Linked DNA regions of Lepisosteus oculatus. The protein of the gene in region 4 interacts with the protein of the main gene of each other region in a pairwise test. Links are inferred from orthologs where the notes say so. Each region holds a gene or a part of one and is shown on either strand. Other genes may lie near its edges.

Region 1 (7,245 bases), on a different chromosome or scaffold from region 4:
ACAACCTGTCATTTATTCTAAAGACTCATATACAACTACGTTCCGTAATTGAGTACACGTTTTTTGTGTGCGTTTTATACGTTTGTTTCTACGTTTTCGGGCCATGACCAGACACGGTTGTTTTCAAGCTCGAGGATTAATTGTTTGAAAACAAAATGTAGGTGCGACAGAACATCGCACCTAAATGGCTCATATTTAGTCCTAGATTTATACAGTACCTCGTTGCTCCCTATGATGACTAAAATTAACACTGATACATCTACAGTATAAGAACTAGGCTTCTTGAAAATAGTTCCATTAAAACATTAAAAACTCACCTCTGACTTCCAAATAAATATCCTAATACACCTCCTGTGCCCATTCCAGTCCAAAATCCAGGCCCCGAAGCAGGCTTTTGGTGAGGTCTTGTGAAAGTGTTTTTAAATCCATAACTATCTCTGGCACTCTCATAACCTGGTGACTCTCCTAAAAAAAGGAGAAAAAATCAGGCTTGTTATTGGAGGGATTTTAAATAAACCAACATTTTTATAAAAGCAACATACAAGAAAAGTACAATGAACTGAAGATTTCATTGAGCAACATTCCAATTAGATTTTACTGACCAATATATTGCTCCAATTAATGTTTATCATACAATGCTTAATATTTAAATGAACATATATATCAAACAAATACATAACAAGCAGAAAATTCAGGAAAAAAACATTTTAAAAATTAAACTTTAAATCCTAACCCATATACGTTTCCTGCATTGAGATCCATCGACATTTTATACAACTCTGAACATTTCCTTCCTTTTCCAAATTTACACTATACCTCAGTACTGCTTTGACCTTGTTGAGAATAACCAGGAAACCTCTAGTGGGAAAAATAATATTAAACATAAGCCTTGGAAAATTTCCACGTGCAAGATTCCTCACAAGTTACAAAGGAAAATATTTGTTATCCAGGAGAAGTGAACTCCTCAGGTACCTGTGTAGTATGACTTAAATCCCGGAGGAGATGGGCCCATTGTGTTACCATCAGTGAAGTGGCCATCGGTGTTGGCGTTGGAAAAGTCTGCATCAGGGAAACGCTGGTGTCCTTGTCCGTGTGGCCCACACAAGAACATCTTATATACACCATAGGCCAAGAGCAACAAAACAGCAACCACCATTAATCCACTGACATCACCTCCAGAGCCCTGATAATTCACATTGCTTGAGGAGTCCTGAAAAAACCCAGATCCAAAGCTCCTACTGTTCCTTCCCTTCTGCTTTCCTTCTTCAGTCAGTTCCAGAGTGTACTCCAGCCCACAGGAACCCTTCAGCACATAAGGGTCATCTGGATAATTATATCCCTCACAGCTCACTTCTATTTTTCCAAATCTATAAGAGTAATCCATGTCGGTTTTACACTCCCACTGTAGAATAAAAATGACACGAAGAGAAATAATTCAAACACAACACAAAATCATTTTGATAGTCTAGCTCCAATGAAAACATATAACATTTGTTTTGTACATTCTTCTAGTGGATGCTGCACATTGGTGGTGGTGGAGGAGATCCCCATTACGTGTAAAGCGCTTTGAGTGGAGTGTCCAGAAAAGCGCTATACAAGTGTAAGCAATTATTACTATTATTATTATTCTGCTGGTACACAAATGTGCTTGTAGAAGATCATAAGCCTGTTCAACCAAAGGCTTATGAGCAAAATGAAAAGCCCTACAGGGATGCTCTTAAGGTAGCAAGGTCCTCCTTCTGTCTCAGACTTGTTGAGAGATGTCCTTGATACTGCACATTATGGCATCCTAATGGATTACATGGAGATTATCCTGGGGTTACAGGTACTTTCCTTTATTGGTTTGACTTTTTATTTATGATTTATTTATTTAATGACATGATATTTAATGATCAGGAACCAATTTGTCAATCTTGATCATTTTAAATCTGATGTTGTTCCAGGTACTAAGGGATCTGTGTTGAGAACTTTACTATTTTGTAGTTGCACCTTCCCACTTGGTCAAATAATCAGCCATCATGAACTCGGGTTTCACTGTTGTGCTGAGGACACTCAGATTTACTTGTAGACTGAAGAAATCACATACAGTACTATTGTTGTGGTTTCTGTACTTTAGATATATATACACAGAGCAATGTATCTATCTTAAGCTGCCAAGACAGAGGTTATGCTCATATCCGCATCACAAAGTTGGACTCTAGAATGTTGATGGTGTTGAAATGAATCCCATGACAAAAAGCAGTTAAGACCCTTAATCTGTATGATGCTGAAAGATAGATACCATAATTTCATCATGATAATATGAAATAGTATGGCATCTAGTAATTTACAAAACCGGCTTCAGTATATCCAGAATTATCCTCATTTACATAAGAATATAATGACTCCTACTCACACAAAAGGCTCTGAAAATTCTAAAGACTTATTACATGAGTGTAGTCTAGCTCTACATTCCTACAAAGATGATGATCATCTTTGAATTGTCTTGATATGTAAGTAGCCAAGTTACACATACCTGAACATCAAAGCCATCCCATCCTTTGTTATGACACTGAACTACTTCAGGAATGAAAGAGCCACAACCAGCAGTTCCTCCAATGCACTGTAACTGTGGAACAGGGCTGGTCCTGCGAGAATTGGTGTACTGTCCTTTGTACAGAGTAATCACCTGAAGCTCTCGAAGCAAAACACTCCCTGCAAACATACCAGATACACTTACAGTATGGCTTTGAAACACAAGCTTGTCAAGAACACATTAATACATTTTACTGACAAATTTTGAAAAATCATCCATTAAGACCCCCATAATCCCGATTTTCTACCTTCTGGAAACGTAGTCAAAATCATCAAAGAAACAGACAATAGGAGGCACTTTGTAACCGAAAGGGTTTTGAGTGTATGAACCTATCCAGCCATGTTGTTGTTTTGAAGCTGATATCCTGGCTTCGTTCAAGAAATATCTGGATGAGATCCTCGGATCAATTAAGCACAAACAGGAACTGTTGTATATTGTAAGGATCTGGTGCTATAATACTTGTTAACAGAGTCATACAAAACTCTAATAACTATCAAACTCGTCAATTTAAGTGCAGATAAACAAGTGATAAACCCATCACTTGTTATAGATTAAACGCACTGAGGTAGCTCTATGGAATTAAAACAATATAGAACAGTTACAGTTTCCGTTTCAAAACAATGTGACGTAGCCTGCCTGCAAAAGATCTGCAAATAACAGCCACAGATTTCAACTTACCTCCATCGTTCCAACTCTCAGTTCGCCCTGTATAAATAAACAGCACAAAAATGGCGACGAATATCTTCATAATTGCTTTCTGTACAAAAAAAAACAACAACACAAAATGAGAACCTAAAATATCGAACAATGTCGTTTCCGGGGTATTTCACCTATCGAAAGCAATATTACAACTATTTTAAAAAGTAGACCAAGTTGTTTTTATATAGAGACTATATCACGTCTCAAGTATATGTACATCTATATGTCAAATCTTCCTTGCGATACCACTATGACTATCACCTATTAAGAGAAGAAAAACTGCTATGATTTCAATACTGTGATCATTATTGCGATTGTTTTCATCATGCAATACAATGTCTGTCAGTTTAAGGCTTTTCTATTGGCTTGTTCCAATCACGCGGAATAAATACGATGGCGTGAGAGCTTTTCAAGACGACCATTTTGTTGAGGTCAAAGTATATTATACTAGCAGGCTATTATTAAAGATTGTAGTTCTTGGTTATTCGAAATAATAACCATAATAACCAATTATGTTCCTATCACTCATAATAAACAAACACTAGTTATATCCCCCACTCTTTTATTAGGCTTCTTATTCCGAAAACCGAGATGGACACAACACTAATGGGAAATATTGCGACCCCTAAAACAATGGATAAAAAACTGTCTCTAGATGTTTTACTATTGCTGTAATAATCGCAGTTAGTGCAGGCGCTGTCGTTTCGATTGGGTCTTTATACTTGAAGTGTCTGAGCAAATATCTCCTAGGGAAAAATAATACTTTCCACGTTACTTTTGACGTGATTTGTATCTGTGCAGATGATACAGATAGCCAGATCTTGCAACATTGCACAAAAAAAAACATTTCAGAAAGAATTGCTTCTTTTTAAATACCCGATTTTCTACATTCCGTTAGATAATTGCAAAGTCTCTCGAAAATAATCTTAACTGCGCAAGGAGTGCTGCACCGTTAGGCGCAAGGAACCATCCGTCTGTCTGGCGTCGAGCATGCGCGCCGGGTGAGATTGCTGGGAATCGAAAGTGTGTAAGGTTGAGGATCAGCTGTTGTTGAAAGATTTCATGTTGAGCTGAAATGGCTGGGATTAAAGGTGAGCAGTGACTCGTTGAATCTTATCTTCTGATACAGTAATATAAGCAGTCCCAACAAAACAGCGTATAGATAGAAAGATTATGACAGCTGTCTGCTTGCTTGGCAACATATCCTCTTCGGTTCGTTCATGGTTTTTTCTACAGGCCAACACCTTATTAAATGTGATTTCAGTCTTTATAGCTTATAATACCTGGAAGTCTCAAAAATTATTGATATATCAGTCTATATTAATGGATGTTTTAATGCTTTTTTCTTTTGTTATTAAAATAGCCGTGTGCTTTTCAGACAAAATGATACAACCGTTTGTCGTTGCATGATCAACAAAACAATGTATACAGCTATCATACAAAGGCACAACGTATCGGTATATTGAACTCCGTAGTTTTTCACAGTTTACACCGCACATGGGTAAAGGATTTAAAACCGCTAATAACTTTAGTGGATTGTATATTTATCATTTAAGCCTGTTCCGGTTAATAAAAAAAACTCGTCAGGTTTACGGAATTAGATATTTTCGTTACCGTGTCATTATAATACACTTAGAATTGAAACTGCTTTAATTCCAGTTTACAATTAATATCGCATTTTTATTTTTAACAATCAAATTTGCTGCAACAAGAGGAACACGGTACTAAAATAATACTTAAACAGAGAAAATTTGACGATGTTTTTAATCGTTTGAAAACTATAGAAACAAGCTACTCAAGAGGCCACCCTTCGACAGTACAAGGGATCTTTGTGTGATTGATCACATGGAGATCATGGAACTGAGTACTTTGTAGATGTGAACTAGCTGCTTAATACATTTTGTAGTATAATGTGGGTTTATTGAATTAATGAGATGAGGTATTAATCTAACCCTCAAAACGATCCTCACTGTGGATGGAGTATGGGACTGTGCTAATGGCTGAATGCACTATTTTCACACCCGTGTTAGATCTTGGTTAGATTGTCATTGCAAATCATAATTTAAATTGCCTGCTTAAAGTATTATTATGAGTTAAGTGATCAGTTTATAATTTTGTGCAATTAATATTTTCTCTGTTCTTACATTCTGTAATCTCGAAGAAAATGTTAGATTGCTCCTTCACCATGATGACAAATGATAAAGCATCCACTGCAACACCTGAACTTTTTATTTTGTAGAAGTTTGCTGTTATAATCGTTTATTTAATGTACTCCAATACATGGAATTGCTTGGATATTCAAAGAAGCTTTATGTGTCAGGAATGATTTTCCCTGGTATCCTTATAATTGTCCACACATTTTGTATTGCGTGTATTGCATTTTGTTCTTAATCAAGTTATTTATACACTGTTGTCACACCTTTCAAGTTTCTTTGCTTAGTTTCCATCACAGATTCTTTCTAAGAATTTTTAGAATGTACAGTACCAGTCAAAAGTTTGAGTACACTTGCTTGAAACCAGGTTTTTCATGATTATCTGTGCTTTAAACTGGATAAACATGTCTATAGACACTTAATATTTAATTACATGATATGTTTACTTATAATCTTAAGTGAAAATGAGCACTCAAAGCAAGCAGATTTCAGTCCGAAGCCCAGGTTAGTTTAAAGTCAGAAATGTGTATAACATGGTTTTAGAAAACTAAAAGAAGTTTAAAACTGTATTTGTCTTTGTTAGATGTTCTCACACTTAATTAGCATGTTACCTCATTTACCTTTTGTCACCAATTATTGGTAAACACGTGAGGGTCCATGATTACTATAAATATAGGGGGCATAGGCAAAAGTTTGTAATTCCTGAATGAACATGGCAAAATTTGCTCAGCAATCAAGGAAAAAAGACAGTCTATAATTACTTTAAGAAATGAAGGTCAATCTTTAAGACAAATTGCAAGAATTTTGCAAGTGTCTGTAACTGCTGTGGCCAAGACTGTCAAATGATATGAAGAAACTGGCACTCATGAGAACTGAAAAGGTTCAGGTAGGCTAAAGGTGACCTCAGAATCACAGAATATGTTCATTAGAGTCACAAGTCTGTGAAACTGGCGACTAATTGCGTGAAGCTGGCCTACCAGGAAGAATTGCTGCGACTAAACCATTGTTAAGAGTGCAGAATAAGAGGAAGAGACCTGTCTGGGCCAAAAATCACAGAAACTTCACACAACCTCCTCTGAACAGTTGATGTTGAACCGTCTGTACTTCTAGTTGCATTTATTGAAAATGAAAAATTAACATTTTCAGTGCAGTTCACTTAAGATTATAAGTACACATATCCAGTAATGAAATATTAGGTGTTTATAGACAAGTTTATACAATTTAAAGCACAGATAATCATGAAAAACCTGGTTTCAAGGAGGTGTAGTCAAACTTTTGACTGGTACTGTACTTTATACTGTAGCTTTATTTTACTTACTCCTGCCAGAAAAATCACAGTGACTCATTTGAACCTTTACTAGTACTAACTTAATTTTGTTCCAGTCAGCTGATGTTCTGTAGGTTCTTTAAAATTATACAAGAGCTAAATATATGTGGAAAGTTTTAACCTATGAAGAGAGTAGAATCAAGTTCTTAATAATTTTGTAATTTAGCAAGCTGTAAGTCATACTGCACAGTAGCTCATGTAGGATAAATAGCAAGTTATGATTTGCACAACTGGACTGAAAATAGTGTTCCGAGTCATAAGGAGATTTTGCAGAATAACAATGCCAATCTGACAAATGCCAGCGAATCAGGTTATGGTGATTTGGTCAATATTTTTTTCAGATGTTATTTTTTTTTTGCTTTCTCAGCTCTTATTAGCCTGTCCTTTGGAGGAGCCATTGGACTTATGTTTCTTATGCTTGGATGTGCTCTTCCTGTGTACAAGTGAGTGTTGTTCCCTTACACCGAATTTTCTGCTTGACAAAGACTGAC
Region 2 (7,018 bases), on a different chromosome or scaffold from region 4:
CTTTCCCAGTAAGCAAAGGGGGCAAAGCAGGCTACACCCTGGATGGGACACCAGTATATCACCAGTACTGTATATCACAGGGCACACACACTCTCACACCAGGCCCGATTTTCCTATAAATCTATTAACTTTCCAGTATGTCTTTGGACTGTGGGAGAAAACCCACACAAACACAGGGTGAGCGAACAAACTCCACACAGATTATGGTAAGACATGTCTGCAAAAACAAAGCTTTTCACTGAGAACCTAAAGGCAAGAATTCTGTGTTAATGGTTGAATAATCGCAGTGCTGTGATGATTAGTGCGGCTGCCCTACAGTTTGTCCGGGGATGATTCTGGACTGGGGAGCCTTCTGTGCGGAGTTCTCCCCACAGTCCTGTGGAATTTCGACAGCTGCTTTGGTTTCCAAAGACGCCCTGGATAAGTTAGTCACTGCCCCTGAATCGTCCCTCTGTCTTTGCCTGCAGTCTGTCCAGAGTGCGATCCCACCTTGTACTCAGTGCCTCTGTGTTATTGTGACTGTTATGACCTTAAAAAATACGTCTAGGGTCCCACCAAAAGTCGCAACACAAAAGAATGCCTGAGAGATCGGACTTCCCCGAGAAAACAAATCAACTTTATGTTTCCAAAAAAAACCCCAGGGAGGCAGAGGTGCACATCTGTATTCCAACTGGGAGAGGAAAGACCAAAAGGAAAACAAAACCCCAACAAACTAACTGACTAAAAAAACAACAACTAGATAAGCTAGAACTGGAAAAAAAGGTGGTTGTGCTTAACAATGCGGTCGTACCAAAAAAAAAAGTCTTCCGCGTCATACCCATATCTACACTAATAACCTACCCAAACCAAAAGCAAAAACAGAAAAGCACACAACATGTCTTTCCCCCATCCCTAAAACACTCCACTCAACTAACCTCATTCACCATCCCAGATGGGTCTTCCCTTTTGCAGCCTCATTTTCCCCTTTGAAATGTTTCTGCCTCATTTGCTTAATATAGTAATTGGCAGCGCCTGGAGAAAAAGGAGAAAACAATAAGGGGGAAAAAAACTCTCCAACTGAGGACCGCAACAGTGACCATGAACAAGAATAACTAGCTTTATGATAATGAATGAAGCATTGTTCTTTACAATAGTGGACCATCTCTTTACTGTAATCCATCTAGTCAGCTGACGAAAAGCTTTGGTTCATGAAGGGAGCTAGGTGACATTTGCACCCCAAGAAGTCTCCCACCTTCGGGTGGTGCGGTGGCTCTGTGGCTAAGGATCTGCACCTGTGGCTGGAAGGTTCCCGGTTTGTATCCTGTGGCTGGCAGAGGAATCCTCCTTTGTTGGGCCCCTGAGCAAGGCCCTTAACCCCAACTGCTCCAGGGGCGCTGTATAAATGGCTGACCCTGCGCTCTGACCCCAAGCTTCTCTCTCCCTGTCTGTGTGTCTCATAGAGACAAATTCCTAATGCAAGAAATTATATATGGCCAATAAAGTGATCTTATCTTACACCTGGAGTCGGCCTTCTACAGTACATTGCAGGGTGAAATTAATCTGTACTTGGTCCTTACAGTCTCTAGTGAAGGCTTGTCTAATATTTCTTCTCTCCCTACCTTGAAGGTACAATATTTTTTCTATATTCTTTTTAAAAAACACCTAGCCCCACTGAGGTCATCCACTTCTTTCTGAAATTCACTCGCTGTTGGAAACATCCACCACACGTAAGATTTTGCTCAGTAGGACTGAATTATTTTTTATTTGCTGCTGATCTTTCTTTCTCCTTGTGATAACTGAAGACTGACTGAGCATAAAACAGCGACTGAGGTGGAACTGGCCAGAGCTACTGGCCACGCATGCACCAAAATGACAACTTTGTTACCACTATGTGATGCTATAGGTGTCCCTTCTGTCACAACAGTCATCAGATGGAAATCTTTATTCTCATAAGTTGTTTCTGTTTTGAAAGTGTTTTAAGTTTAATTTAGGATTATCAAACCTTTCTTTTCTTAGCTATTAAGGCAGCAATAGGCACTAGTTTTTTAATGCTCTGTCGTACTATGTTTGATACTTTTAACTATAATCGATTTTCAACTTTTCATCTTTTTGAGAAAACATGGGCTGTTTTCAGGTTCTCATTAAAGCAGGGGAAGAGACTGGCACCACGAGAAATCTTAAAACTGCCAAGTTTACAGAAAGACAGAGTCAGTTTTTTCAGAGGGTGAGTCAGTTTTTCATTCTCTAAATCCTTTTCCTATTAAAGTTATTATTTTTGTAATCCTAAATTGCCTGGCAATTCATATTCGTACAACTGCATTTTATATTATATATATTTTTATACATTTCATTTTTACAGTTTTCCAAAGACAAAGACAGACAAAAAATTGAAAAATTATTTCTTTAAAGTGTTCCAATTGCTTTCCTTACGATTTCTGCTGCACTGTGGGTGATGTGCTCAACATTAAAAGTATTATGAAAACAGACAGGATGAATGGAAATCAAGGTTAACAAAATTTAAAAAAGAATACCTTGTAAAGCAAAGGCTCCTGTTTGATGCAAAAGCTGGGCCTAACAGACCAGATATCACCAGTTCCTACCTGTGCTTATTATAGGCCATCACTCTGTGACCTTGACTCTCAAACAGTGCTCAAGTAGTCAGATTCTGCAGGAGCTGGCCAGGGTGTCCTCAGATTTGCACTGCTAGAGACAGTCCTGCAACTGGTCGGGTAATGTCGAGTTTTCAGTGTTATTGGTGATATCTTGCCTTTAATGCCACAGGTTGTTTGCGGATACTGTGTACTCAAGAATATTCTGAAAAGCTTTTGTTTTTCATCACCAAAATTGTATTCATTTAGAAATTTTGCTGCTGGAAAGAGGTTAGTGAGGACCTTGAGGTCCATGTGGGTCCTAATGCCCCAGTATAGTGACAGGGACACTATACTGTAAACAGGCGCCGTCCTTCGGATGAGACGTAAAACCAAGGTCCTAACTCTCCGTGGTCATTAAGAATCCCAGGGCGTTTCTCGAAAAGAGTAGGGGTGTAACCCCAGCATCCTGGCCAAATTTCCCATTGGCCTTTACCAATCATGGCCTCCTAATAATCTCCATCTCTGAACTGGCTCCAACACTCTGTTCTCCTCCCCACTGAGAGCTGGTGTGTGGGGAGCATTCTGGGACACTATGGCTGCTGTCGCATCATCCAGGTGGGGCTGCACACTGGTGGTGGTTGAGGGGAGTCCTCATTATCTGTAAAGCGCTTTGAGCGCAGTGTCCAGAAAACCGCTACGTAAGTGTAAACAATTATTTTATTTTTTTTCTGCGATGTGTGAAAGACACACCGGCCCTCCTAGCAACAATAACTGTCCTATAAGACACTGTAGACCGTCAGACAGGCCTCTCCATGAAGGCACAGCCTGACGAGAGGGTTTTTCAGTAGGGCTCTCCCCCACGTGGCACAGGGGCGTTGGCGGAAATGTCATTTTGGTAACTCCAGATGGGGAGAGTATAATTTAGGAACATAAAAAAAATGATGGAGGAGGAGGAGGGTGTGGGTGGGGCATAAAAAGCAAGAGAAAATGTAGAAACCTGACAGAAATAATGCACAACAAAACCAGGGAGCCCAGCAATGGTGCAGGAAGAGAGAAAAACTAGACTTTCTCTTTTCTCCTTTTCTGCTCTCCCTTCTTTTCCAGAGGCCTGGGCCGCGTCTCCACACAGCCTGCTCTTCAGGAACGCAGTTGCCCAGCAGATGTTTCTCCTCTGCTGGCTGGAAGCTGAGCGAGCTGGGCTGCTACGAATGTTTATGTGACCTTTTCATGTGGTGGCAGACCTTGGGCGGGTCTAGTTGAGTCATGCTGCAGTTTTACATTTGGACCTGGCTGAGGAACTCAGAGAGTGTGTGTGTGTGTGTTGGTGGGGGGAAGGCAGAGAGGGCTTCTGGAGAAAGGAAATGGGCGTTGAAAACGTCCTTCTAAAAAACACTCCTCAGTTTTCTCCTCCCTTTTCTCTGGAAGTAGAGGGGGTGGGAGAAAAAAGGGGGTGGGGGAGTGATGGGTAAGAGAAGGATAAGAGGGTGGAGAGAGGAGTTTTCTTCATACAACTCTGACTCCTCATTCACCGTACAGTACTTGTTGTCCTGGGAACTGCAGTTGAAAAGGTGAGGTGTTGTTATTCTTAAATGTGAAAGGCTTTCTGTAGCTGTTGAACGCTGGTTAACTGTAACTTAGCCCCTTTTTCTGGCTGATGGCTGTTCTCTGTATGTCCATTAAGTTTAGAAACTAGTTAACGTAGTTCACCATGTTGTTCACTTTCACAGAACTTTCCCTCTCCGTTTTTATTAAGGAAAAGGAACTTTCATTTGTGTTTATTCCTGGTAATGTTACTGTGTGCAAGGCTGAAAGCAGTCAGCTGCTTGTGTTAGGGATCTCTCCTACCTTGCTGTTTGTTGAATATGGCTGTTCTTTTCAGGCTGTTGGGATGAGACGACATCTCAGGCAGTGTGTGTCCTTCAGACTGCTGTCCTGTATGTGCCTGGTCTTGTTGAATGGCAGCAATGTGAGAAAGATGAATGGAGAAATTGTGTATCTGTGTGATGCTCTGTCCCCAAATCAGGTGCCTCAGGATTAAATCTGCAGTTATTGAATGTGGAAGTCTTCTTCATGCATGCGTCTTCAAAACTCAGGGAAAGTGGAGACTGTAGGGATTTTCAAGGTCTGTAATTTAGGAAGAAGTCAGTAATATTATCGATTGAATAGGAGAAATAACCCCACAAAGCCTAGTTTTAGGAGATCACATCAATGGTCATTTACATCTTCATCATAATCATCAACATCATCCTCATTTCCAGTCATTATCAATCCACTTCTAGATGAAGGTATCTTCCAGGATTTTCATTTCCAACATTTTTTATCAATTTTTTCCTTTCTGATTTTTAATTTCTTCGAATGACTCCAGAGCCTCTGTCATGAGTCTGCATTCTGTACTTGCTCGTGGAAGAATTATCGTGTGTATTGTAGTATGTGTGTTTCTGGGTGTGTACGTGTGTGGCTGAGGGATCTCTTAAAACTAGCAAGGTTGTTAGAAGGTTTTTGTGCCTTCACCCCATTTCACAAGACAACAGGGGATCTGCTAGTGAATTTTTTCCTGAATGTCTGAACTCCTGTGCATTGTATCATTTTGATATACCTAAGTGGTAACACTAGGTATCATTCAAAAAATTAACAAATCCCCTGTGTTTATCACTTGGTGCTGTACATAACTGAGGAAAACCTCTGCAGGAGTCATAGGTCTGGAATGTGACATATCTAACTATGAAATTTTAGGTTTTGTGATGGGGGATGTACAGTATGCGTCTACTTCACATATATACTGCAAACAGGTTTAGTTAACCTACAGTACGGAATAGTACCAACAGCTTCTGAAAGGACAGTAGGTTTTGTGGAGAACTCCATTCAGTCTAATTTTGAAAATCATTTTATTCTTAGGAAGGGAATCCCAGTCCTGGTTATAATGGATCACTGTGTCTGCTGGTGTTAATTCCAGTTGACCTCTTTAATTACTGGGGATAATTGCTCACTTTAAAGGAACAAGTAAGGGTTTATTCTATGGTGAAAAGAGAAGAAAAGAAACACACAGTTTCAACTGTGGAGCCTTCTTCGGGAGTGTGAAGAAGAAGGCTCCACACCCGAAACGTTGTGTTCCTTTTCTTCTCTTTTCAGCATAGAATAAACCCTTACTTGTTTCTTTGCAGCCTACGCAAGCTGACACAGTTACCTAGTTCAACTTCATTTAACAGATGTGTGTTAAACCTGTTAAACTTTTGGAAAATCATATCGCTTATAGCTTCTCAACATGCAGGTCTTTCAGTGGTCATTTTTCTACTTGCTTCGAAACGATTGCTCCTGGAATTAATTCTGACTAAAGATAATCAATTTGTGATGAACAGACATACTTAAGTTGGGAATGACAATTTTGACAGTCCCAAAATCCACGTTTGTTTCTCCACTTCTCCAGTAGTCCAACTGGATACATTTCAGGTAACTTGCCTGAATCAGGGGAAATCTGATCATCAGAAACCAGCCCAATTAGGGTTGATGGTGTTTACATATTCCCAGTCTCATTCACTGTAATTGATTAATTACATTCACAAGCCTAACATTGTAGGTACTGAACACAATTATAGAGGTAAGCTTCAGAAACTGCAATCATTTAACCTGCGAATACCATCTCAACTAGAACAAAAAGCTGAAAATACAGTGGTACCCCAGGAGCAAAATTAGGATCCCCTGCTTAAGTGGGTCACGGTGAGGGGGACAGGGCATAAGGTGTGTCTGGCACCCTGGATGGACACCAGTCCATTGCAAATCATTTGCTCCATTGCAGGTGAGCAAATCAGAAACGCCACTGGAAAATCATGTCTTTGAACTGTGAGAGAAACAGGGATACCCACAAATACCCCAGGAATACCTCATAAAACCTGAGGAGAACATGCAAACTCCACACAGACAGAGCCAGATTTAAACCCAGATCTCAGGAGCTATGAAGCAACTCTTCCGGACCATCTGTTGTGCGACAGTCATTTAGTTAAACCTGCACAATAGACAGAACCGGGATCACATTCAAACCAGCTTGTTGCAACCAATGTTTTTCTTGGACATGATCAAATCACTTTCAATAAGCACTTATCCGAATCAGGGTCACGATGTCCCAGAGTCTATCCCAGAAGCTCTGGGTGCATAGGGGAAAACACCCTGGACAGGATGCAGTCTATTGTAGGGCAGACAGACAAATACAGCAGACTCACACCAGGGCCAAATTCCCCAGTGTCATGGTTATCATCCCTCCTCTAGAGGGTGCTCCTAGCTTTTTGCTATTGATTTTAGTTTTAGTACTCCCAGCTGTGTCTATCCCCTTCTGCGTTATATAAGCCCTGCGTCTCTGCAAGATGGACGTCCGAAAGCCCGTCCAGCACCAGGCTTGGAGATAGCCTGAGGGCTTAGGCTTTCATCCCGACATCCTGAGCTCTGTGCCTGGGGCT
Region 3 (7,653 bases), on a different chromosome or scaffold from region 4:
AGCATTAGCAAACATTTTATTTCTTCATCCTGTTTTTTAGGTTCAAACATGATTTGCCTTTACGTAAGAAAAAGAGAAAACGACGGACTGAAGTAAAAGCACAGGCTATACACTTTATTCAATATCAAGAAGGCTGCAATAACCTTTGCTGCTGTTAACCTAACTGTAGGCTAAATGGATTTGAAGACACACTTCCAATATAATAAGAATAACTGTCTCCCGACTAGCCAAGAAAGTACATTTCAATGAAGCAGATTCAATCAAGCCTAGCAATACATGAACATTCACATTACAAGATTAAAGTACAACGCACAAGCACAAAATATCTTTCGGGAAGAAAAGTGATATACAAACGCCAGCGGTTATTTTTCATTCTAAGAGTCTGCACCGAACCTAGAATACCGTTTTGCAAAAAAAAAAAAAGAAACGAGAGCCTGTGACATTATTACAAGTCAGAGCTTGGAGAGGGGGTTGGAACAGCACCTTCCGAGCTGAACAACCCTGTAAAATGCAGGGCAGCTGGAGGAGCCCGAACCCATTAGACTAACCACCACCCTGTGGGATGACATTAAAAGAAACCCGACCTGCCGAGGGAAGAAAGAGTTTTACACATTCACGCTTGGATTTCTGCACCCTTGTGGTCTTCCCATTGACTCTTAAGTCCATTTTTGTTTCCCAGTCTATAACCCCCCAGAATGAAACTCGTCGCGGGGTGAAGGCAGACACGAAACAAACCGTTTTGATACCAGCAGGTATAAAACACCTGCTCTCCAGCCCTCTTCTCAGGAACTCCTCGCTCCTTCAGATACAGTCCAACAAATACACCATTATCTGCACACGTGTATGTCTGTTTTTATTCTTGTACGTGCAGGAATTTATTTTGATTTGTTTTACATAATGAAAGGTGGATTATAATTAATCCACATGCCATTCATAAAAAAATATATTTTGTTGCTAAAAAAGGGTCATTCATATTGTGGCGACCTTCTGGAAATAATCGAACCCCTGACAAACAGATAACAGCCATGAGACTTTTTCTCAAGGTTTGCCCTCCCACTAACAGTAATACAACCCCACACACGCAGGACGTTGGCTCCAACACATCTGTTAATTAAAAGCTATTGCCACTTGATTTCTGATTGCAGAATGGAAAGCACCTGACAACGAATTAAGAAGACATTTAAGACAATCCCACTCCAGTCAAAAGGCAACTGAATCCAAGCTTCCCCTTCAAAACAAATATCTCCAAGCACCGCGAGGATGAACAGAGGTTAACTCGTCCTCCCGGGAGCACTTGCCAAACACAAAACTGCAAGCATCGGGGAAAAAAGGGATCACAAAGTGCCTGGCGGGAATGAGAATAAAGCATTCCTTAAATGCCTGCCAATCACGCTGCAACCTAAGAATAAAAGAAAACCTGTGTGGCACAGACAGGATAAGACAGTACTGTAAGTAAATGCCTACCCACTTTTCTTGCATCTCATTTCCTATGTCCTATGGACATTACCGGCCTGCTTGTCAAGCTGTTCTCCACAATCAATACGCTTGGTTGAGAAACCAGGACTGACTGTAAAATGACTGTAAGACACAAATACTTTCAGGGTAGGACATCAAGGAATGATGACCCCGGCAATATAGCAGTCTGTTCAATGTATTGCTTATTTCCGCAATTATCCTGATGGAATACTGCACTTCATCAAGAAGATGTCTTCGCTGCGGATCGTTAGTCTGATCGGGGCCCTGGGAAAATCTGTAACCCTGGAGAGCTTCTGAAAGAGAGTCCCGGCGCCCTGCAGGTAACGTCCTAGCACGGCCACACCGAGAACACACCACCGTGAGCCGGCGGCCGTGGAGCCCGCGGAACCGCAACGCCAGGCACGGATGAAATAAAACCGCAAGGCTGAGTTTTGTGGGGAGCTCTTCAGCGGTGCGTCGTGAAAGGGCTCATCAAACAGCCGTGCCAACGTCTGCAGAACGAGTGTGCGCGACCACAGCTCTCGACAGGCAGGGCAGGCGCGGACATCGCCGGGCACTCCGCACGCCTTTACAGGCGAAATGAAAACGGGGAAATAAGGGTTTCATCTAATGCTCACGGAAGCTGTGGTTGGGGGTGTGAAAAAAAATGGCCTTAACACCTTAACATTTCATTTCTGAAAACTCAAGACTGCTTGTAACGCTTACCATAGGGACAGCATGAACTAACACAAAACCACTTCTCCGCGTTATTGATGTGAAGGCGATCATTAGGGGCGACGCCTGGATGGCTGAGTTGCAAGAAGATTAATTTACTGTAACAAATCCGTTTTTACACCCATCGTCCTCTTTTACCGACATTTATAATTTTGCATCATGGGCATAATTCGCCACAGCAACGCCTTACGATACGCAGGTTTACCTGACGAAGGCAGTCGACAGGCATACCGAGTCACAGGACAAACCTCAGATCCCCGCTGACAAACAGCTGGACTGGACGTAGCCTGCAGCTGTAACGGTATCGCCTTTCTAAAATAAAATCGACTCTCGGCAGCAAGACATAAGGGAACCGAATTCCATAAATTAAAAAAAAAACATGAATGCATTTCTGTAATAGCTTTAGTAACGAGCGTAACATTAACAGATCAAATGCACTCGTCTCCCTCAATCCCCGAACCCGCCTCCCTCTATACCCACTTACTGCAGTGCAGTCATTCCTGGGAACGGCCATCTGATGAAAAAGAGATAGACCTTAAATGTTATTTTTTTCAGTTCCCTGGCAGAAACACAGCGCTCGGAAAGAGATCTCTAAAATCAAGAGGCTTTTCTCGCCGCCGGGTTTATTAAACTCCGCGCAAAGAAGCAGGCCCACGAGCGACAAACCGTGCAAAAGCGTGAGTGAATTTCATCAGTATGCTGACCTGAAACGGACCATGCGTTAAACGGCTGCTGATGAAAAGCCTTTTCGCGAAATTCTTTTTTTTTTTCTCCCCGAGTCACATTTCATCCATGTTCGCCTTCCTCATTCAACGGCGGGGCGAATATGTTTACGTGGCCCCTTCGCGTTGCATTGTGGGTGCCCGGCCGCGGCTCACGCTGCGCCTCGCGCCTGTGTGCTTCACCTGCACAGGTTAGTAAAATCAGCGCTACTGATGTTTGCTCGTTTTTTTTTTTTTTTTTTTTAGATGAGTAAGTAGGCCTAAGTGATAAATATTAAATATTTGCATCAACTGAAATCAAGTAATAGAGCATAAAAAAACACTAACAAAGTCTACAAACCCGAGATGAATCGGTTTAACAAATAATTTAACTCAATGTCCTGGACATCGTTCCTTTGTACAGGAATGTGTAGCTAAGCTGCTATTATTACACGGGAGCTGAAGGGTTGGTTGCAGTTTACTAGTGATTTTTTTTCTCCCAAGAGTGTCTTAAAGGATTGCTGTGCAGCCTTGCAGTCACCTCTCAGAAAAAAATATCCCAGTGATCATTCCTGCAGGTTATTTGAGATTCACAGGGGACACAGAGGGGATCATGGGCAAGATACAGTCACTGACGTATTTGGCTAACAACTTTATTGAAAGCAGCTTTCATGGATGCCCATTTATACAGCTGGGTGTTTTACTGGAGCAGTCTGAGGTCGGAGGCCACAGCAGCAGGGTTCCAGCTGGGATTTGAACCCACGGCCCTACAGTTACAAGTCCAAAGGCCTAAAGACGGTTCCCCACGTGGACGGATTGAGAGAAAAAGGAAATGATGCTAACAGAGAGATATTCTTCTTGGGAGCAGCAGTGATAACTGCATATATCGGAGACGCAGAGCCCGTTATTCTGACATGAGGCAGGGTGAAGGCAGCCATAAATAAGAAAGGCTGCAAGAGACAGGAAGAAGGCAGAGCTACAGGATGAAGTGGAAAGAATAACCCTGAGCCTGTTCTAGGTCCTTTCTGAGTACTGACCCCAGTGCTAGTTTGATGTGCCCTAGGGTACAGTCTCCCAGCAGGACGTAGGTTTGTGACCTGCTTGTCTGTTACAAAAACACTGAGCTTTATTAACTACAGGCTGTCAGACTCCTCTTCAGACTTCCAGTCCATTCCACAACCCTGTTTGTTCAGTCCAATATTTTGATTAACTGGAATACAATTCACCATTCTACAAACAACTCTTTCACACCTTTAAGCAATGTATCTGGTCATGTTTTAAAATGTTTAAGCACACCAACCCAAACCCATAATTGAGATCTGAAGTCCAGGAGTTGAGTATGACACACTTGACCGACCATTGAGGATGTGGCTTCTGTCGCAGGGAGACTGCAAAGGTATTTTCATTATAAGCCAAGATACAGTACTTGTCATTTCACTCTCAAGAAGGGAATAACATGGTCTTCCTTCATAGGGCAGTGGGCACTGGAATATCACAATGAGCTACAGGGTCAGTGACTGACAGAAGATGGTGACTTTGTTAATAGGAGCAGCATGGAACAGTCATTACTGTTTTACCACCAGGTGTGACACAAAAGAAAGTCAAGGTAGGGTATTACCTTCTCTCTTTATAAAAATAAATTGTGAAGTCAGGGGAAACTACAATCTAACCATATGTAATAGTAGCTGAGCTGCATATTGATCAAAGGAAGTGCCTTAAACAGAACCTAGCAGAGTATGTGTTAATACTCTAGAGCTGCAGGCGGTTTTCAATAAAGTTTTAGACTGCTATAGAGTAGTAGTAACGAGTAACGTGAGAATGCAATGGGTAACCACTATTGAAAAGAAAGAATAAGAAAGTTGGCAATAAACTATTACATTATCTCATTAACCACTTGAATTTCTCACCCTCAGGCAAGCAGGCGACCTTAGTGCATAGAAAGCAGAAACTGGCTTCCAGAATGTGCAGTTCCAGATTCATTTTAATTAGTGCAAGTGATTTCTTACCATTCTGAAGTTTAGAGAAGGCCTCAAACAAGTTTAGAGCACATCATACAATTTTAAACTTTGTTTATGAAAACAAATTATGAATATGTTTTGCTACTAAAAGTAGACAATCCAGCTGAAAAATATTAATTATACCAAAGTACAGAACCCTTGTGAACCCAGAGGCAAAAGTTAAATTCTGCTCTCATTATTAGAGGCGTACTAAAAGACTGTATATATTTTTGGTTTCCCCTTCAGGAGCAACTTAATTATTAATGAGATGACTGATTTTTAATGATGAAATAATGCTTTGATAGGGGTCTTGTGAAACTCAGTTTCCAATTTACTAGTTATCTCTGGATGAACTGAATCCTGCAGCCTCTATTTCACTTGCTAAATCATTTTCACACAATGATTTGCATTTTTCAATATTCCTTTTCAATAGGATTCTGGTTGGAGTAAGTAGTATGATCGATGCAGATGAGCCTTTTTAAAAAGAAACTGCAATGTACACAACCAATGAAGCATAAGAAAATATTATGACTGTAAGGGACAAGATGCGTGAACATTTCTGAGAGAGTTACTGGAGGCATCCAACAGCACAGGCTGTAAGGGGTTTCTCTCATCTCCTGGTTCTCCTTTACTGAACTTGAATTAACCCGTCTAAAGGGTGTTATTTACTCTGGCAATTGGATATCAAATTCAGTTGGTCTGAACTTCATCAAGAGGAAACAAGACAAATGGGTCTTTTTCAAAGCCTTGTATTTGAAAGAGTCTCTTTGGGTGACTTTTAGTATAAAATATTGAAGATCTAGACTTACACTGAAGTTTTACAGAAGATCACTTTTATTCTATATTTGGTTAATCTTAGAATTTCCTGTCCCAGAATGGTACTAATGAGTTCCTGGAGATCTCCTTCCTCAGATAATGAGGTGCTTTGCATGCTGGTGGTGATAACAGTTAATGTTTCTCTGTGGTGTTCTGACAAAATAACTATGAATCAAGGAAATGTTCTTGATGAAATTCTGTCAAGTTAAGCCGATGCTATATTATCATTCATTGTGTCCTTATCTTGTTACTAACTATATTCAGTCACTAACTGGATTGAATCTTTACTGTATTCATATTCATTATTTCTGCATACGCATTTACCTCTTGTTTATTCCCATGACGACTATTATAATTTTAGTAGTTCAAGATGAACTGCGATTTGATCGTAAATGTTAAAAAAAGTCTTCCTGAAGTGTTTCTGATGCACCATAAAATCTGTCAGGAAAGGTCGTGTTTTTTTTTAAAGAAATTGCTGTCATCTCCCAGGACACGCTCCATAAAACAGTCTGGAATTATGAGGGTAACCTTGAGGCTCTTGAACCAAAAATATTTCTGAACCACGCAAATGCACCATACTCTGGGAATTAACCAGGCGTGCCATTCAAGTCATCATAAATCCTTACTTGGAAAGGTGGCAAGCAAACTGCAGTCATATAGTAGATAAAATGTATTTTCCCTGCTGCCTAAACTTTTCAAAATAAGCTGATGCAGTTTGGTAAAGGTCAATATCTATGCCTGACATTACTTAGAGACAAGAAGTACAAAAGGCATTTTAATGCAACAGATCACTCTTCTGTCTCTACGGAAGGAGCTGAAATCTTATGAACCCCTGAATATTTCATTTCTTGGAAAAACTGTTGGGCCGGGTCAAAGAACCATTTAAGTCTGATATTGTGCAGAACTATATTTTCCAGGTTGTACCAGAAATAATGACTTTAAATGACAGCCTGAAAGTGTCGTGCTCTATAGAAATAAAACTTTATATGAATCTTTCTGCAATGGATATCCAGTAATTTAGTAATGATCTTGAGAAACATAAGAGAAAATGTTTTAATTTTTGTTTGATAACCTCTATAAAGGCCAGAATTTTTTTTATTTGACTTGTTACATTGGCAAATTGTTTTTGTGAGGTGGTTTCTGTTTTTCAATTATACTGTTTATTCTTATTTAAAAAAAATAAAAACTGTTTCACAAAACATTTATTTTTTCATTTTATTTGATTGAATTCCCTTACTCAGATTGCAAGAAAACTGAGCATAGTAGATTCACTAAACATGCATATTGCACAAGCTTTAGTATTCTGCTCTAAACACTGTTATACCACAGTGATAACCATCTCCTTTTTAGCAACACTCTGAGCACTAACAGAAACAACCAAAGCAATCGCCCAATTTTTCTTAACAGAAACGTAGACAATTTGATCAAGCAGAGTGACTGTGAGGGTAAACAAAACCCATTTATTTGTTGATGTGCAGATTGGTAAGTTAAATTAATCATTTTTATCGGTATAGGTGTCACAGTTCATTTGAGAGTTTTACGCAGCACATTGGAATTTAAAGTACAAGCGCAACTGACCCCAGAATCACGCTGCAGGTTAGAGTGATCAATTAATGTTAAAATCTCTCTCTCTTGTCTTTGCTCAGTAATCATTATCCTGCAGAAAATACCACTGTCTAATTGCCAGATCTACAAACACTGAGTGTTGTTAGGTAGCAAGCAATTCCAGGATACATTTGAGCAGATTTCAAAAACAATACCTTACAATATTAACACTGTAAATATCTGCTGTACTGCATGCACATGTGAATGGCTTTCTAGGAGGTTAAATATGAGATGGATGTAAGAAGTGGGTTTCTTGACAACTCTCGGATGTGCACAGATCTGATCGGATGAATTGCCTCACACATTATACCAGTTCATGCCACAGGGAAGGGTCAGACAAACTG
Region 4 (7,527 bases):
TAATGTATTTTAATCTAACAGAGAAATTTATGTTAGAATTCCAGTAACAGCTGGAATGCTTTATTTTTATTTTAAAACAAGAGATTATAATATGCCAAACAAGTAAATACTGAAGTACCTTGTTAATCTTTTGGGATAGAGTGGAATTTCTGTGTGCCATATGCAAATGGCATGCTTGAATCTCTCCAGGCATCTAAAGTTCATCTGTGGCTGCCAGTCTGAACAAGTATGTTCAAGTCACTTGAACTGTTCTCAGCAAGGACCAAGCCTTATTATTCGACTGTCATCTGCTTTAAAGAGCTCAGCACACATCACAGTATTTAGCAAACATTATTTAAAACAGCTGGAGATGCTCTTCATACACTTATATCTATGCAGTACTCCCAGACTTTGTGGTTTATAGCTATAAAGCTCACTTAATAATAAGCTTTTATATGTGCAAGTGAGTTTTGTGCTCTGGGATGGCTGCATTTTCACCTGTCAAATATGAGTAATGGGAAAAAGAGATTTAAATTTTACACACTCTCTTGCACATATATGTGATGGATTTATTGCAGCTTCAGAGTCATCTGTTCATGGTAGATCAAGAGAACCCCATAGTGTGAAAAAGATTTACTACTGCAAATGTTTCTTGATGCTACCATTGGTATCAGTCAACGTCTTACAAATACAATTTTAATCTCCTATGAAAGCAGCTGCAAAAAGCTGTGTTAATTAGCAATATCACAGGAAAATATGCAAGTAAAATGCACAAATGATGTACTTGCATGTCTTGTATTTCTGAAAGATTGATTGTTCACTCAGAAATGCAAGATTAATTGTATTGCAATTAGCACATATTGTAAATCTGAAATCTTCCTGTGGACAGGCACTCACAAAACACCTGTTTTATGACCCCAATTTTTTCACATAGAAAGTTACACTAAAGAAAATCAGATACACATGTTAGCAGTAAATCAAATGTCTAAAAAAAGGATTTGCTTAAGCCAGTTTATGTGCTCGTCTACTTGCCATATTTTCTATTTTAGTAGTGCTTCATTTAGTTTTTCTAGAGGTTCCAAATCAAATACTTCTCACTACTCACTGCTTACTTACTTCTCTAATTTTTCACAATTTAAGCACAGGTTAATCTCCTCTAAATGTTAACCACTGTAGCTTCAGGGTACAATATATTCAAGGGCGTGACAAAGGTATTGCATATGACACATTCATAAATGTAGTCCCCAGTAACTTAACATTAGCCTTTAATACAAAGTCAACAAGTAAGCTATGCTATTCATGTGCTGTAGTTAAAAGTGCTCTACTGTAAATGGGCAAATCTTTTAAAGGCATGGGATACATAGACTTGCTCTTTTGCATGAAATCTGGCACCAACTATAAATCTTCAACAGCTAATACATCACTGACACAGTAACTCTCCGTCAAAGCAAACAGTACCTGTTATCTGACTTGTCTCATTTGAGAGCTAAACATTTCCAGAGCGGGAAGGTACGTATACCAATGGGATCATCTCTGTAGTGCAGCACTGTTGTAGAACATTACATACTGTTTCTGAAACTTTCATGTTGAGCTTGGATACATATTTTTTTTTATTTCATTAGTTCAACTATAGCTCTTCACATGGCGAAGGGGATACCGAAGTAACCTAAAGTTAGCCACTATTTCAGTAATATCTGAACCAGGTAGGGTAAACTTCATCAGTGCATGCAGCAGTATATGAGGGTTCTAGGAACAAACCCCTCAAAACTATGTAAAAAACGTTCAGTCATAAAAAGCTCATGTGTAAAAGGCCAGTTAAGTCTACAAACTTCTGTTTTCTCTTTTTCCCCCCTCCACCGTATAACAGCAGCTGTTCCAGTTCCAAATGTATAAATTTGCATTTCAGGAACATGTGTACCGGTATTGTATTCTAAATTCACAAATCCTACTGTTCTCAATACATCATTTCACATTGGCACAAGTTGAGGAGTAACTTTAACCACAGAATGGTATGGTGGACGCAGAAAGACGTTTTAATTTCTCGAATCAAAAAAAAGTAAAAAAAAACTAAAATACAGTACTTGTCTTATCTTTGTTACTTTTAAATCTAATTGTTGGAGCGCCATATCATTGTCGATTTCGAAACCTTAGCCCTTCGGCAAAGAATTTTAACTTACCTTTTACCTAGCAGGATGAAGAGAGATCGCGGTTTAACAGAACGGAAGCTGTTATAAACCTACTCTTCACAGAAAACATTTGTGCTTCAAAGCGATTAATTTCTATTAAATAATCTGTGCATTTCATAAATGTGATATATTAACAAAACCGGCATCCCCTTTTTTTTAAAAAAAACCAAATGTGACTGGATATAGTTTTACGCAACCAATCACAGTCGTTACAAACGATCAAACTGATCCTTAAATAAAATGCTTGACTGACGCTCTAGTTGAAGAAAAATAAACTGCGGTGGACCACAATGTTCTTCTTACGATTTCTAGACGCTCTTATTTTAGATACAGCTTTATCGCTTTCATCGTACAGATGCCGGTTTATAAACAAATAGTGTTATTGCGATTACCTCTTGGTCCATTGTAGGGTAGCTGATGTCCAAAAGATGGTATTCAGGGGAAAGCGGTTCATTTAAGTCAGTTGCACCCGGCGTCACAATTTCATCTCTGTTTTTCTGTGAAAGCTCGCGTTTCACTTCAGATCTGAGATCCAGATAGCAGAAAAGTGTGATCAAATGCAACGAGAGGGACAATACGAAGAATCCCAGGAAAATCTTACAGTTGTTACATTGTTTCCTGCACATGCAGGTTGTAGGAAGTTCAGGTTTCAGTGCTTTCTCCTCTAAGTTTGCAACATTTTCTGTTAAACCTTTAGATGCCATTTTTTTGTAAATAGAAACAGGTAGTGCTATTTCAGCATAATCAGCTGCTTTCTGGGGTCTGATCCACTACTGATCAGTAACTTTGAAGCAGAAGCCCACATGAAAACCACTCCTCTGATCTTTTTCCTTGATCAGAATAAGTAACCAAACTAGCAAACCGCGTCAATCACTAGTAACAATCCGGTTTTAGGATCCGCCTTTAGCGTTTCTGATTGGGGACTGGATACGTAACGGAGGCAGAACACAACCCATTTTCCCTCCTCTCTTCCTTCTTTCATATGCTTTCTTTTCATGTGGAGTAGTTGCTGCTTATGAAAGGGTATACAAAAGGTCACGTCATTCATTATGGATTACTCGAAGAACTTTGCCCATGAAGTTCATATTGTTACTCACGCAATTTGTTAACTGACATGGTGTCTAAAGCAGAGAACTGCTGAAGTGCTGACCTCGGGAAAAGCAAAGAAAGGTTCAGGCAAAGCAGGAAGCACTTGCTATTGTGAATCAAGCACGTTTGCTGCAAAGAGTTATTGGGCGGTGATGAAATGCACGTGGCGATTTGATATACAAACGTAATTTTATATATATAAAAAAAGATACATTTTATAAACCTGACAAAACAGTAAGCGTGCTCTGGAAAATTTCAAATCGCAGTTGTATTTTGAAAGTTCTCCATCAAGTGTAATCCGTTTATAGAATATATCTCATATTACAATTACAATAAATAAAGCAAAGTGAGGGGGGCGTGTAATAATTCTTCTAAATTTACGCTGTAGTTCAAATGTGGCTATTATTTTGAGAAAGCTAGGGAATTAAAATTTTGATTAATCTCTTACTGTCTTACCTTTAAATTATGCATTAATATACCCTACATCATAACGTTGGCAACTTTTATGAAAGCTTAAAAAACTTTAGTTGACTACTGTTTATTACTGAGTACTCTGTAGGAGAAAGCATGAAAATCCTTTACACGGAGATCCATATTATACAGCTGTTTATTAAAGAATATCACCTACTCATGTAACATATTCCTAGTTACTCCTACTGTACATGGCTCCCTGTTACAAAACATAGCTGCTTTTTTTAAATGTTCACATTTAGTAACTTATATGTTCTTCAGATCACATTTATTTGATTTGCTGATCAAAATTAAATGATCAAAGTTGACTTACTTTCCATCTCAAAACTTTAATTAACGTTATTGGAATGCTTCTTCACATCTAAATCCAGATCTATACATGACTGAAATGATTTATACTGTTATAATTAAAATTTATTTTTACACAACAGGAAACTTTTTGTGTGTTTTCCCTTCACTGAGCTCAAAGATTAAGTAGGGTCTTTTTCTTTAGCTTTAATACTTGCTGTGTTTGAAACTTGTACAAGTTAGTAATTATGCACCAAAATTATCACCAAAAGACTTTGCAAGTACTTTATAAAATAAAAGCAAGAACATATGACACATGCATTTTAATTAAGGAGCGCAGAGGCTGTCTGATGGTATAAAAAAATCTCAAAATAGACTAAACATCTGGAGATGACACATCTACTAGTGTGAGACTTCACGCAAATGCTTGGAAAACATGCATTTTCCTTGTCATCTTTTAGTGTATTTCACTTGAAAGCAATTTAAAAAAGGTCTATTAAAGATCAATTCTTTTGAGAACAGTAAGACTTCTTAACTTTCTTTTAAAATTCCTTAAATTTAATTATTCTATCAAAGGAAATGGAACAAACGATAATAATAATTCCCAATACTTTTTTTTGCGAATCTAGTACATTACCAAGCAATTGTTCTCCCAAGCACTGAAGTTACAAAAGAATAGTTACAAATGAAAGGAAGCCATGCTGCCATTCTTGGTTGCTAGTAGCGTAATGATCCAAGAATTCCAAGATGCCATTTCTTAAAGGATACCATGGATCAGGTTTAACAACATGCTAAGAGAGGTAGTTCTAGTCAGCTTCCTACAATTCAATGTAAAAATGTTTTCCATTCTGAATGCTCCTAAACTTCTTGTATCTTTGGATCTCTTTCTTTACTGTTAGTATGGATTTGATATGCAATCCTTAAAAAGCTAAACTTTAGTAAAACTTAATTTATGTTACTAGAATGGATTTCCCTAAATAATATATGCACAGTTTGAATGCACAGAATAAATAGTAGATCTTCATTCAAATAATTAGGTCTGTGCAGCTCTAACCTTATTTTAACATGCTCAATGTACTACTAGTTAGCCTGATGGAAGTATGGGAATCTTTGGCAACCTTTGAGTTACAAGGAATGTCTAAGCCTAATTATTCCCATGTTAAATATTTCAAACATGCATTCAATACTTAGTATATAATTCCAGCACCTGTACCTCAGTTTAAATGCTTTACACCACAAAGGAAAAGCCAGAGGGTTTGTCCATAATAACTTTGTTAACAACTAGGAAAACCTTGATGTGGTGCAATCAGAAGAGATAAATCCTGAGTAAAACTCTAGTCCCCCACAATCATGGCTCTCTTCAAAAAACATTTGCTGGGATTGTATGCTAGACATTAATTTGCCAACCTACATTTTATAAGGTCTGAAATACAGTTTGCATGTGCTGCATTAAACTTCTTTTTGAAGTTGGAGAGAGTGTATTTCTGTGTTGTAATATAACAGCTTTCAAGCTTTCAGAAAAGATCTGGACCCACACCAACACAGTGGAAGAAGATGCACTCTTAAGTACATATGGTAATTTACATCTTTAAAACATTAAAATAAAAGGCATAACAACATAATTCTTACATATGTATCCCAATAAACATTCAAGCAGCCAAGACTGACTTAAAAAAAGGAATATGCAATATACATGTACAGTATAGTTAGCATTTATTTATTTGTTTGTTGTTTTATACATGTACAATATATGACAATTCACCTACATACAGTATAATGGGCAATAGTGGTATGAACGATCTAATCTGTTCATTGCGTGACTATCTGCTTAAAAGAACTTTTAAATGCATTTAAGTATTGCTCAATTCAGTTAAAGACTTAAGGTCCTTGCTTTTAAGACAATCCCTACAGTTTCAAAAGCAACAAACCTGTTACAGTATATTAAGTTCTAAATTAAATCTTTGGTTATTCCATTTTAATGTTCCGTTTTTGATGTTTCCTGTTTAAAAACAAACAAAAAGTATCTCTGGATCTTGTCCATAGTTAAAATCAGTTGCAAAACTATCTGCCAAAATGGCCTGGTAATCATAAATATTACAACATACCAGTGTTATATTATTGTTACTGATCTTTTTCTGTTTCCTTTTGTTTGTTAGTTTTGCATGTTAAACTGACTAATCATCAGTTTCATTTTCAGTTCAAAATAAGGAATGACATGAGTTTATGTCATTATACTTAAAGTGACTGTCCATAGCAACAATTATTATACCATTATTAACAAGTATTTTGAGTTGTTATCTCAAAGTTAAGCTGTAGAGTGCGGTAGTTAAGTTGTAATATGTGGTGTTATTGTATAAAGTCTACTGTATTTCTGTATACAGTGACTGTATAAAGTATTATTACTCTCTCTTATTCTTAATATATGAATTTATGCTTTAGACCAGTGACAGTAGCATCTCATTCCTAGTTGCATCCTGACTGCCGAAGCTGTAATGTTGAGGCTGTTCTTAAGAATACATGACAATCATAAATCAATAAATCTGAAGTGTTTAATACATACTGATGTATGAAATATTGCTTCATTCTATCATTTTTCCCAAACCAGAAGAGAAGCACTATTTAAGACCTCATGTTGAGGTGACAGCAAAAAAAAATTATAATGCATTGACTCCATTATATAACTGAAACACCCATATAATATACTGTATGATTAAATAAAACTGTTCATCATAGGGCACGCAGAGACATGCACTCACATGCACACCAGGGCCAGTTTTCCCATAAGCCAATTAACCTACCATTATGCCTTTGGACTATGGGAGGAAACTGGAGCACCTGAAGGGAATTCACAAAAACAAACTCCACACAGTATCCCAGGAATGGAACCCAGGGACCCAGTGCTGTGAGGTGGGAATGTTAAGAAATACCTCTTTATCCCATTCAACAATAAAAAGATTGCAACCGGATAGCTGCTAGGCTAAAGCTTTGGTCATTGGAAAATCAATTGTTTTCTCACCAGAAATGTTTAAATTGAGTCTTGCTGTTCATTACATTGGACACTATTTTAAAATGGTTCTATCTTGCTGGGCATGTTTAGTATAATTGGCGTGCACCCACGCATGTAAAATCTACTATTTCCCTCTCTTACAAACATGAAAACACAAAAAAGCTCAGAAATCATTAGATTCAACACTTTATATTTTTAGGCCCAAGGTAACAGATATTAATCCTACATAAACAGAGATATAATAGTTTTAAAATAGGAACTCAGTTGCTGGAATCATTAGCAGAATGAATAGAATAAAGTTAGCTTAGTCAATACAGGTGTTAGTTCATGCTACTAAAAATACAGGCACAAGAAGACAAAGAAGAACATTATCATCATTGGGTGAGTTGCACATATTCTATGGAACTCCTTTTTAAATAAATGCAAATACCATTACAGTGAATGGGTGCAATCACCTTACACACAAAAAGTAATATTCACAAGTGTGTAGGGCAGTAAAATGACTCT

Evidence for each region.
Region 1: the proteins of eda (region 4) and leptin receptor overlapping transcript-like 1 interact in binary tests that used the Homo sapiens proteins (3 or more experiments, as listed by UniProt). The two-hybrid records come from large-scale screens. The link is inferred for Lepisosteus oculatus from reciprocal best matches to the Homo sapiens genes EDA and LEPROTL1.
Region 2: the proteins of eda (region 4) and epithelial membrane protein 3 interact in binary tests that used the Homo sapiens proteins (3 or more experiments, as listed by UniProt). The two-hybrid records come from large-scale screens. The link is inferred for Lepisosteus oculatus from reciprocal best matches to the Homo sapiens genes EDA and EMP3.
Region 3: the proteins of eda (region 4) and sec22a interact in binary tests that used the Homo sapiens proteins (3 or more experiments, as listed by UniProt). The two-hybrid records come from large-scale screens. The link is inferred for Lepisosteus oculatus from reciprocal best matches to the Homo sapiens genes EDA and SEC22A.

What each region holds. Positions count from the first base shown.
Region 1 is NC_090696.1:9,252,497-9,259,741, reverse strand, and holds the start of leptin receptor overlapping transcript-like 1, read left to right. Parts: upstream 1-4,239; 5' UTR 4,240-4,349; coding exon 4,350-4,365; intron 4,366-7,121; coding exon 7,122-7,197; intron 7,198-7,245. Other genes in the region: saraf (store-operated calcium entry-associated regulatory factor), read right to left, coding at 318-465, 973-1,402, 2,516-2,694, 3,254-3,323. UniProt on the Homo sapiens protein: Negatively regulates growth hormone (GH) receptor cell surface expression in liver. May play a role in liver resistance to GH during periods of reduced nutrient availability.
Region 2 is NC_090720.1:12,369,096-12,376,113, reverse strand, and holds the start of epithelial membrane protein 3, read left to right. Parts: upstream 1-4,010; 5' UTR 4,011-4,138; intron 4,139-7,018. UniProt on the Homo sapiens protein: Probably involved in cell proliferation and cell-cell interactions.
Region 3 is NC_090707.1:4,672,281-4,679,933, reverse strand, and holds the start of sec22a (vesicle-trafficking protein SEC22a), read right to left. Parts: upstream 3,012-7,653; 5' UTR 2,895-3,011; intron 2,743-2,894; exon of another isoform or gene 2,675-2,742; intron 2,401-2,674; exon of another isoform or gene 2,182-2,400; intron 1-2,181. UniProt on the Homo sapiens protein: May be involved in vesicle transport between the ER and the Golgi complex.
Region 4 is NC_090703.1:44,535,304-44,542,830, reverse strand, and holds the start of eda (ectodysplasin-A), read right to left. Parts: upstream 3,025-7,527; 5' UTR 2,870-3,024; coding exon 2,558-2,869; intron 1-2,557. UniProt on the Homo sapiens protein: Cytokine which is involved in epithelial-mesenchymal signaling during morphogenesis of ectodermal organs. Functions as a ligand activating the DEATH-domain containing receptors EDAR and EDA2R. May also play a role in cell adhesion.